Linked DNA regions of Arabidopsis thaliana. The protein of the gene in region 1 interacts with the protein of each later gene in a pairwise test. Each region holds a gene or a part of one and is shown in the gene's direction. Other genes may lie near its edges.

Region 1 (3,753 bases):
TCTCGACGGTAATTTTCTTTTTGGGACAGTTTTTAGAAATTTAGTGCTTTCGCTTTAAGATGAAGCCTTGGACTTGTTAGAGATTTTTTTTTCTTTTTCAACTCTTGATGATCGGCTTATATATAGTGATGCTTTTACTCATAATTTACTAGTGAATTTTTATTATCGTGTTTTACTTTTCAAGATCAATTTGTTGTTTGCTTAATTTGGTAATGGAAAAGTCTTTTGTCAAAAAAAAAAGCTATTGGTGGGTCATTTTACTATTAGCTATTGGTGGGTCATTTTACTTCACGCAGGAGCTGCAAGTAACTCTAATTTGAGTGATGATAAAAAGAAACGAAGGAAAAACCCTAAGCCTCGGCACTTAAGTTCGTATGGGAAGCGTAATAACACTCCAGTTCAACCCTCAGGTAAAAACATGTTTCACACAAGTTATTTTTCATTTACACTATTTTTCAGTTTCTCACACATTATATTGCAACAATTTTTTCATTAGAAACTGAAACCAAGAGCCAAGGCAAAAGAGTTTGCTTCAACAACTCTGATGTAAGACAGATGAAGCAAAACACTTCTTCTAGAGAAAATCAGTTTGGCATAAAAGAAACTGTCTTGGAGAATTTCCCCAACGTCACTCCTCAGTTTATGTCAGACCAAATCAATGGCCATCAAGATAAACCTGAGAAGGCGAAGAAGAATCCGGAAAGCTATGGTTTAGGGCTTGAGCAATGTGTGAAGATCATAAGAAAGCTTGAGTGTTCAGGTTATGTTGAGAGCACTTTTAGACAAAAGTTTTTGACTTGGTTTAGCCTACGAGCTACGAGTCAGGAGAGAAATACTGTCACGACATTCATGAATGCTTTCAATGATGATTCAATGGCTCTGGCTGAGCAGCTCGTTGACACATTCTCTGATTGTATATGGAGCAAGGGTTCTGTGATTGGCGATCGCGATGGAGGTGGCAGTAGTGGTGTCTCATGTAAGAAGCCGCGACATTGATTAGAAGAGATTATGTAGGCATTCTTTGCAGTTTCAGTCTTTTTTTTTTTTTTCTTTGGGATCACGTAAAAAGAATTCAACTTTTTTTTTAAAATTTTTCATTAGCATTTTCATGGACATCACAATTTGGTGCTGGATATGGATTTTCTCTTTTTCTAGTGTGTTGTATTTTTTTTCTTCCCGATTGTTGAAAGTTCAAGATAATAACCATATCAAAACAAGCTATTTGTAAAGAAGGATTTCTTACCAATATATCCCTCGCAAATTGGCTATAACTAGCTAAGGAGTTGTAAAAGGAAAAACAATCCTCGCAAATCAGTTCTTTCAAACTAAAGAAACTCACAAAGCTCTTTCAAAATTTGCAAAAGTGTTAATTAGCAAATCTCTTGCAAATTTTGACTAGCAAATCCCCATGAATATTGTGAAGGATTTACGACTTTTATATAATTTCAATTTCTTTTTAAAAGAGTTTGGTTTTGGATTTGGATGAGTTTAGAATTGATCGGTTGCTTTATCAAAATTGTGTTGATCATCTTTAGAATCTTGGAAAATGTTATAAAAAATTATTAACGAGGTTTTGAAAATTATGTTGCTATCTTTATTACGCCACATAAATATCAAAATGTGCGATGTCGAGTATACCAATGCCCAATTTCACATTTAGCATATATACAAATAGTATAATATTTGTATAATGTTACATATACTACAATTTTCAAAAAATGATACATAATTTAATTTATAATACACAACGAGTCACGACGAAGATATTGCTCTGCACGACTCCAACGAACTAGCTAGAGTAAAAAACGTTGCTAAGTCTTACGTGGCATCTCCCGCCCAACAATTCAGCAAAGTTAGTTATTGAATGCTGTTTAGTTATTCTCAGTAATGCGATAGACCCAACGAAACTATAGACGACCACTAATAATAATACACGTAAGCAAAAATCGAACCACTAAACAATCACGTGAAGAAACACGGATACATTGAGTGCACCGTTACGTACACAATCAAACCAATTATAAATGATTTAATTTAATTGTCTGTTCACTCCCCAAGATAGATCTATCCAAGAGAGACACACATTCACTGCTTTTGACTCACTTTTTTAATCTTTTTGGATTTTGGTGAAAAAGTTTAATTTGTCTCTTTCTCTATTTATCTCCGGCGTCAATTTCACGGCGGCTACACGACGGTTATCGATGTCATTGACTGTACCGGAGTTCGATTTCAGAGTAATTCTTCTCTCTTTATCTATCATTCTCTCTCACTGCTTCACGAAATCTCTCTTAAGCTTCATTTGTTGTGTTTGCTTCTTTTATAGTTGACGCCACAGTTTGGTTTCTCACAGTCACCGATCGGGTGAGTTTTCTCGTCATTTCTAGGTTTTTTGTTCTCCGATTGGATTCGATTTTTACTCTGTGTATCCATCAGGGAGCGTAATTTCGCGGATGTTGATAATCTGGAGAACTGTATTAAGTATTTGAATCAGAGCTTAGTCACCTCTGGATTCTCTGCTTCGCTTGACCTCTTCGCTACCGATCCTGTGCGTTTTAATCATTCTCTAATTGTTTTTTTTCGTTTATCGATTTGTTTGATGAAGCTGATTCGATGAACTTGTATTAGGTTTCGATTGCTAGAACTTGCAATTGCGTATACGCTTTGATTCAACAGAGGCAACGAGATGTGGAATTTAGAGAATCTGCTAATGATCAGAGACAACGGTGACTATTTTGTTTTTTTTATCTGAATGTTGATTTTTCTATGTGCATTGTGAATTAATGGATGTTGTTAAACTAATTTAGTAGCTTCATTATGATAGTGTTCATTCTTAAGCATGAGATTGACTCTGTGAGATAGATCATGCTATGAATATGTTTTTGGTTTAGATTTAGACATGAAACCCCTGTGATCTAGATTTTGTTACTGTTTTTGGTTTTATGTGTGTTTAGAATATAGTTATAGTGAACTTCTTTTGGGAGCAAAGAAGAAGACAAAAATGCTTGAGATAAAGTTACTGAAATTGCCATTTTTGTTGCATCTATGAAGCTTTCTGCATGTGATATGTCATTGTTTTTACCAAGTTCTTGTTTACTTCAGACTTTTATCCGATATGGCGAGACTCGAAGCAAAAGTTGAAAGGCTTGAGACTCAATTGCAAGCTAAAGAAAGGGAACTTGGTTCGGTGACAAGAACGGTAAGAGATATATATCCGAGGTTGGAATATGGACAACATGTAATGATGGATCATGACATACTTTTTTTGGTCAGGAAGCAAAAAATACAGCGGCTTTAAAGACGCAGAATGAGAAGCTTCAAAAAGAGAGAGATGAGTTTCAACGAATGGTGATTGCTAACCAGGTTTGAATCGTTGCTTAATACCAGCTCGAATTCTCAGTTTTTTTGTGATGCGGATCATGTTTCAAAGAATTTGGGAATGCTGATGCAATGCTTTTTGAACATTTTGTTATTGTTTGTGTATGAAAGCAAGTCAAGACCCAACAATTACATGAAACAAAAAAGAAAGAAAAAGAGTACATAAAGTTACAGGTATGGGTTCACATAGCAAGTTCAGAGTGTTTGTAATATAGGTTCAATCTTAATTAATTAAAAATTGATCTTGTTTTAGGAGAGGTTAAACCAAGTGTTGATGGAGAAAAAGAAGGAAACGAGATCAGGCATGGAGATTATGAATCTACTCCAGGTACTATATGCGATTTGAAATAACTATTATCGAGTTTTCTTAGACTATCC
Region 2 (3,753 bases), on another chromosome or scaffold:
AAACTAAAAAAAAAAAAAGGGAAGAGATTATGAAGAGTCACCTTTGAAAGAAGACACGCTATCATGACTGTCAAGGAGTAGCCCCAAACGGGTATCAATACTAGTCTTCACAAAGACACATTGCGAACCGGAATCAGCCATCAGTAAGATTATTGTAAGAGAAATGCAAAATAGGGTTTTGATGAAGTTGAGAAGAAAATGAAACTCCACTCTCTCTGTTTGATATTTATAAGCGAGTTTCTTTCGTAGAGGAATATGAAAAGCTTTATGTTTTTTTTGGGAAATCAAAAACGCTTAATTACTTGGGAAAACACAACGTGTAGGTCGATTCTCTCTTTTCATCGTCCTTTCGTCTTCTCTCTTTTGGTTTATGACTCATTGAAAGGGTTTGACCAGATCATAACTTCTTTCTCTATGGGCCAAATAAGTGGGCCTCACGTTATATGAAGACAGAGATTCTCTAAGGAAACCAGGAATACTAGGAATTGTTGAAAAGCAAAGCTATAAGGCGAGGAAGTTAGCTAAGGGCTTTTCACAGGACAATGGGTTGGAGCAGATGGATTTTATCAAGAGAGATGCAAGTCTATCTCAAGCAAAGAACCATAAATTTTCAAAAGACAAGTACCTGGTGTAGAATCATTGAAGAAACAGCTCCAAGTAATGCCGGTGTAGAATCATTGATCTAAAGTGAAGTGAAGTTTATGGTTTTCTCTTCATGAGCTAAAATGAAGTTGCAGGGAGAAGCTCGGGATCAATGGGTGCCTCAGACAAGCAAAGAAAACGGTTTAGTTTTCTGGTTTAAGCTCAAGTGGGAAATTGAGAAACTGACAACTACGTGTGTTTTGTAGTTACAAGTTACCTGAGCGGTTTTTTGCAGTCGTATAGACATCAAGACAGGGTTCGAAAGATTGTTCTTGTTGAGCTGCATTGCTGCAAGGTTTAAGAAATTCAAAACAGTGAGGAGATGTTGAAGATAAGTCACAGATGTCTTCAATGTTTAAGGTACAAAGAAAGTAGACAAGGCAAACAAAGTCATACATAGTTCTATTTCATGTACTTGAACAGGTTCTAAGATCAAACATCAGAGTGTATTAGAGAATTACCTGGGCCTGTGAAGAAGTTGCTGATGGAGTTAGAAACACCAAATATTTATTTATTAAAACACTAAGAACCATACATATATAGATTTCTCTATTTCCAAAAATAGAATTAACCATAGTCAAGATCTTTCTCAATGTAAAAGAAAAATACTAATATTTTTGTTTAGAGTTCAGACTACGTACGTAATATTTTTCATATCGTATATGAATTTTTATTCGAGTTTCTTTTTTACCTATTTGGATCGACAAAGAATTTTGGATCGAGTTTATTGGCCGACAAAAGACAATTAAGATTATAGTTATTTGTTAGTAGTATTTGATTATGAAATACCAACACATCTTGAATGTTTTCTTTATGTCAAAATAAATAAATAAATGCATGCATTCTTTTTTTTTTCCCTTGCCCTTAACTATGTTTAATTTTGCTGTGATCAAATTTATAGGATTCGAAATCTTGACATGAATGAATGGTAGGAAAAAAAAAAAAGCACTGTTTAAGAGTTAAAAGCTGACGGTGTCAAGTCGCCGCAGCGAATATTTTTTTGTAAAAGAATGGTTTACACTTAAAACACTCGAATCTCAAATTTATATATTACCTTTCCTTTTCTCTAATTTCTCTACTTGGTACTTTTTTTATTTTAGGAAGACGTAATATTTGTTACCAGAGGCACACGCATGGGTAAAAGCGGAAACACCAGAACGCGGATACACGTGTCATTGATCTAACGGTGAGTTAGCCAATATCCTTTGACCTCTAGTCTCATCACCAATATGCCTGGAAAATGATTCACAACCGTCCACGTGGCGATCTATATATCCACATTTACTTTTATACCCTCTTTGCCCGTTTTCCTTCGGGCAACTTCAGTTTTTGTTTCCTTGTATTTATTGACTTTTGAATAAAAGAATTATTTCTTCTTTACAATTTTAGAAAATTGGAAAGCTTTATTTATTGTCTGACCCTTTTACTATTCTTCGGGCAGCTGTTCTTAAAGACATCTTCCCTCTTCCTCAGACACAGCTTCTTCTACTGGAGAAGAGGAGGAGAACACAAATCCAATTCACACTGGAAACGTAAGAAGAAGCGATCAAAGCTTAAACTTCTCTTTGACTCATCATTGTTGTTCTCTCTGTTTTATTTTTCTTCTCAATTTCTTGTTTGAACTTGTGAAAATCATTGAATTGCAATTGTGTAGTGTTGGGTCGGATCCTGAGTGATATTTCGAGACCGATGATGTGGAAGAACATTGCTGGGTTGTCGAAGGCAGCGGCAGCGGCAAGAACACACGGATCTCGGCGGTGCTTTTCCACAGCGATTCCTGGTCCTTGCATCGTCCACAAGCGTGGTGCTGATATTCTTCACGATCCATGGTTCAATAAGGTTGTGTGTTTTATCCTCGATCTTCTGAATTTTAGGGTTCTAAAAATTGATTATAATGCTGATGGTTGTTGTTGTTATGGTCTCTCTATCTCTTTGGTGCTTTTGCAGGACACAGGTTTTCCTTTGACTGAGAGAGATAGATTAGGGATACGAGGCTTGCTTCCTCCTCGTGTTATGACCTGTGTACAGCAATGTGATCGTTTCAGTAAGTTTTGATTCCAAGTAAATCTCATTATGTTTCTTTCTATTGTTTCTGAGACTTTTGGTTTTGAAACATAATTTGGCAGTTGAGTCGTTTCGTTCGCTAGAGAACAACACAAAAGGAGAGCCTGAAAACGTTGTTGCATTAGCTAAATGGAGGATGTTGAATAGATTGCATGACCGTAATGAGACTTTGTACTACCGAGTGAGTCTTTTTGGCTCTAAATACTGTCCCACATTGACACATCTCTGAGACATCATAACTCATCTTCTCTGCAGGTTCTTATTGATAACATCAAAGATTTTGCCCCCATTATATACACTCCTACGGTTGGACTTGTTTGTCAGAACTATTCTGGTTTGTATAGAAGACCAAGAGGAATGTACTTCAGCGCCAAAGACAAAGGAGAGATGATGTCTATGATTTATAACTGGCCTGCTCCGCAGGTAGATATGATTGTCATCACTGATGGTAGCCGTATTTTGGGCTTAGGAGACCTTGGAGTACAGGGAATTGGGATTCCTATTGGAAAGCTCGACATGTATGTCGCTGCTGCAGGAATCAATCCACAGAGAGTATGTTGATCTCCACATGATCTTGTGTGTGTTTTTTTGTTTGCTGTACCTAACTAAGGTTTCACCTCCTTATTCAAAATTATACGCTTGTTCCTCTGCAGGTTTTGCCAATTATGTTGGATGTAGGCACAAATAATGAAAAGCTCCTACAGAATGATCTCTGTAAGCTGTGAACTTAATTGGTCCATGTGGTGTACATGTGTTTCCCTAATATCTCATTCGTCTGTCTTTCCCTTTGTACAGATTTAGGAGTCAGACAACCTAGGTTGGAAGGAGAGGAGTACCTTGAGATTATTGATGAATTTATGGAAGCTGCATTTACACGTTGGCCAAAGGCCGTCGTACAGGTATATATCTCTTACTATCTTCTTTAGATTTACCTTTCGGTTGGAAGGATGACTAAATGATTCATTCCATCATTTTAGTTCGAAGATTTCCAAGCGAAATGGGCTTTCGGAACATTGGAAAGATATCGGAAGAAATTTTGCATGTTCA

What was found. Proteins that work in one complex are often made in the same cells at the same time.
Region 2: the proteins of AT2G18876 (region 1) and NAD-ME2 interact in a two-hybrid assay, tested with the Arabidopsis thaliana proteins (one large-scale study listed by BioGRID).

The regions. Positions count from the first base shown.
Region 1 is NC_003071.7:8,167,482-8,171,234, forward strand, and holds the start of AT2G18876 (Afadin/alpha-actinin-binding protein), read left to right. Parts: upstream 1-2,090; 5' UTR 2,091-2,201; coding exon 2,202-2,234; exon of another isoform or gene 2,235-2,323; coding exon 2,324-2,361; exon of another isoform or gene 2,362-2,433; coding exon 2,434-2,545; intron 2,546-2,625; coding exon 2,626-2,723; intron 2,724-3,099; coding exon 3,100-3,196; intron 3,197-3,270; coding exon 3,271-3,360; intron 3,361-3,486; coding exon 3,487-3,549; intron 3,550-3,628; coding exon 3,629-3,703; intron 3,704-3,753. Other genes in the region: VEL3 (vernalization5/VIN3-like protein), read left to right, coding at 1-8, 222-410, 497-976, 1,156-1,187.
Region 2 is NC_003075.7:245,101-248,853, reverse strand, and holds the start of NAD-ME2 (NAD-dependent malic enzyme 2), read left to right. Parts: upstream 1-2,049; 5' UTR 2,050-2,174; intron 2,175-2,296; 5' UTR 2,297-2,331; coding exon 2,332-2,481; intron 2,482-2,589; coding exon 2,590-2,686; intron 2,687-2,768; coding exon 2,769-2,887; intron 2,888-2,961; coding exon 2,962-3,258; intron 3,259-3,359; coding exon 3,360-3,420; intron 3,421-3,501; coding exon 3,502-3,605; intron 3,606-3,683; coding exon 3,684-3,753. Other genes in the region: AT4G00580 (COP1-interacting protein-like protein), read right to left, coding at 42-141. UniProt on the Arabidopsis thaliana protein: Involved in the regulation of sugars and amino acids metabolisms during the night period.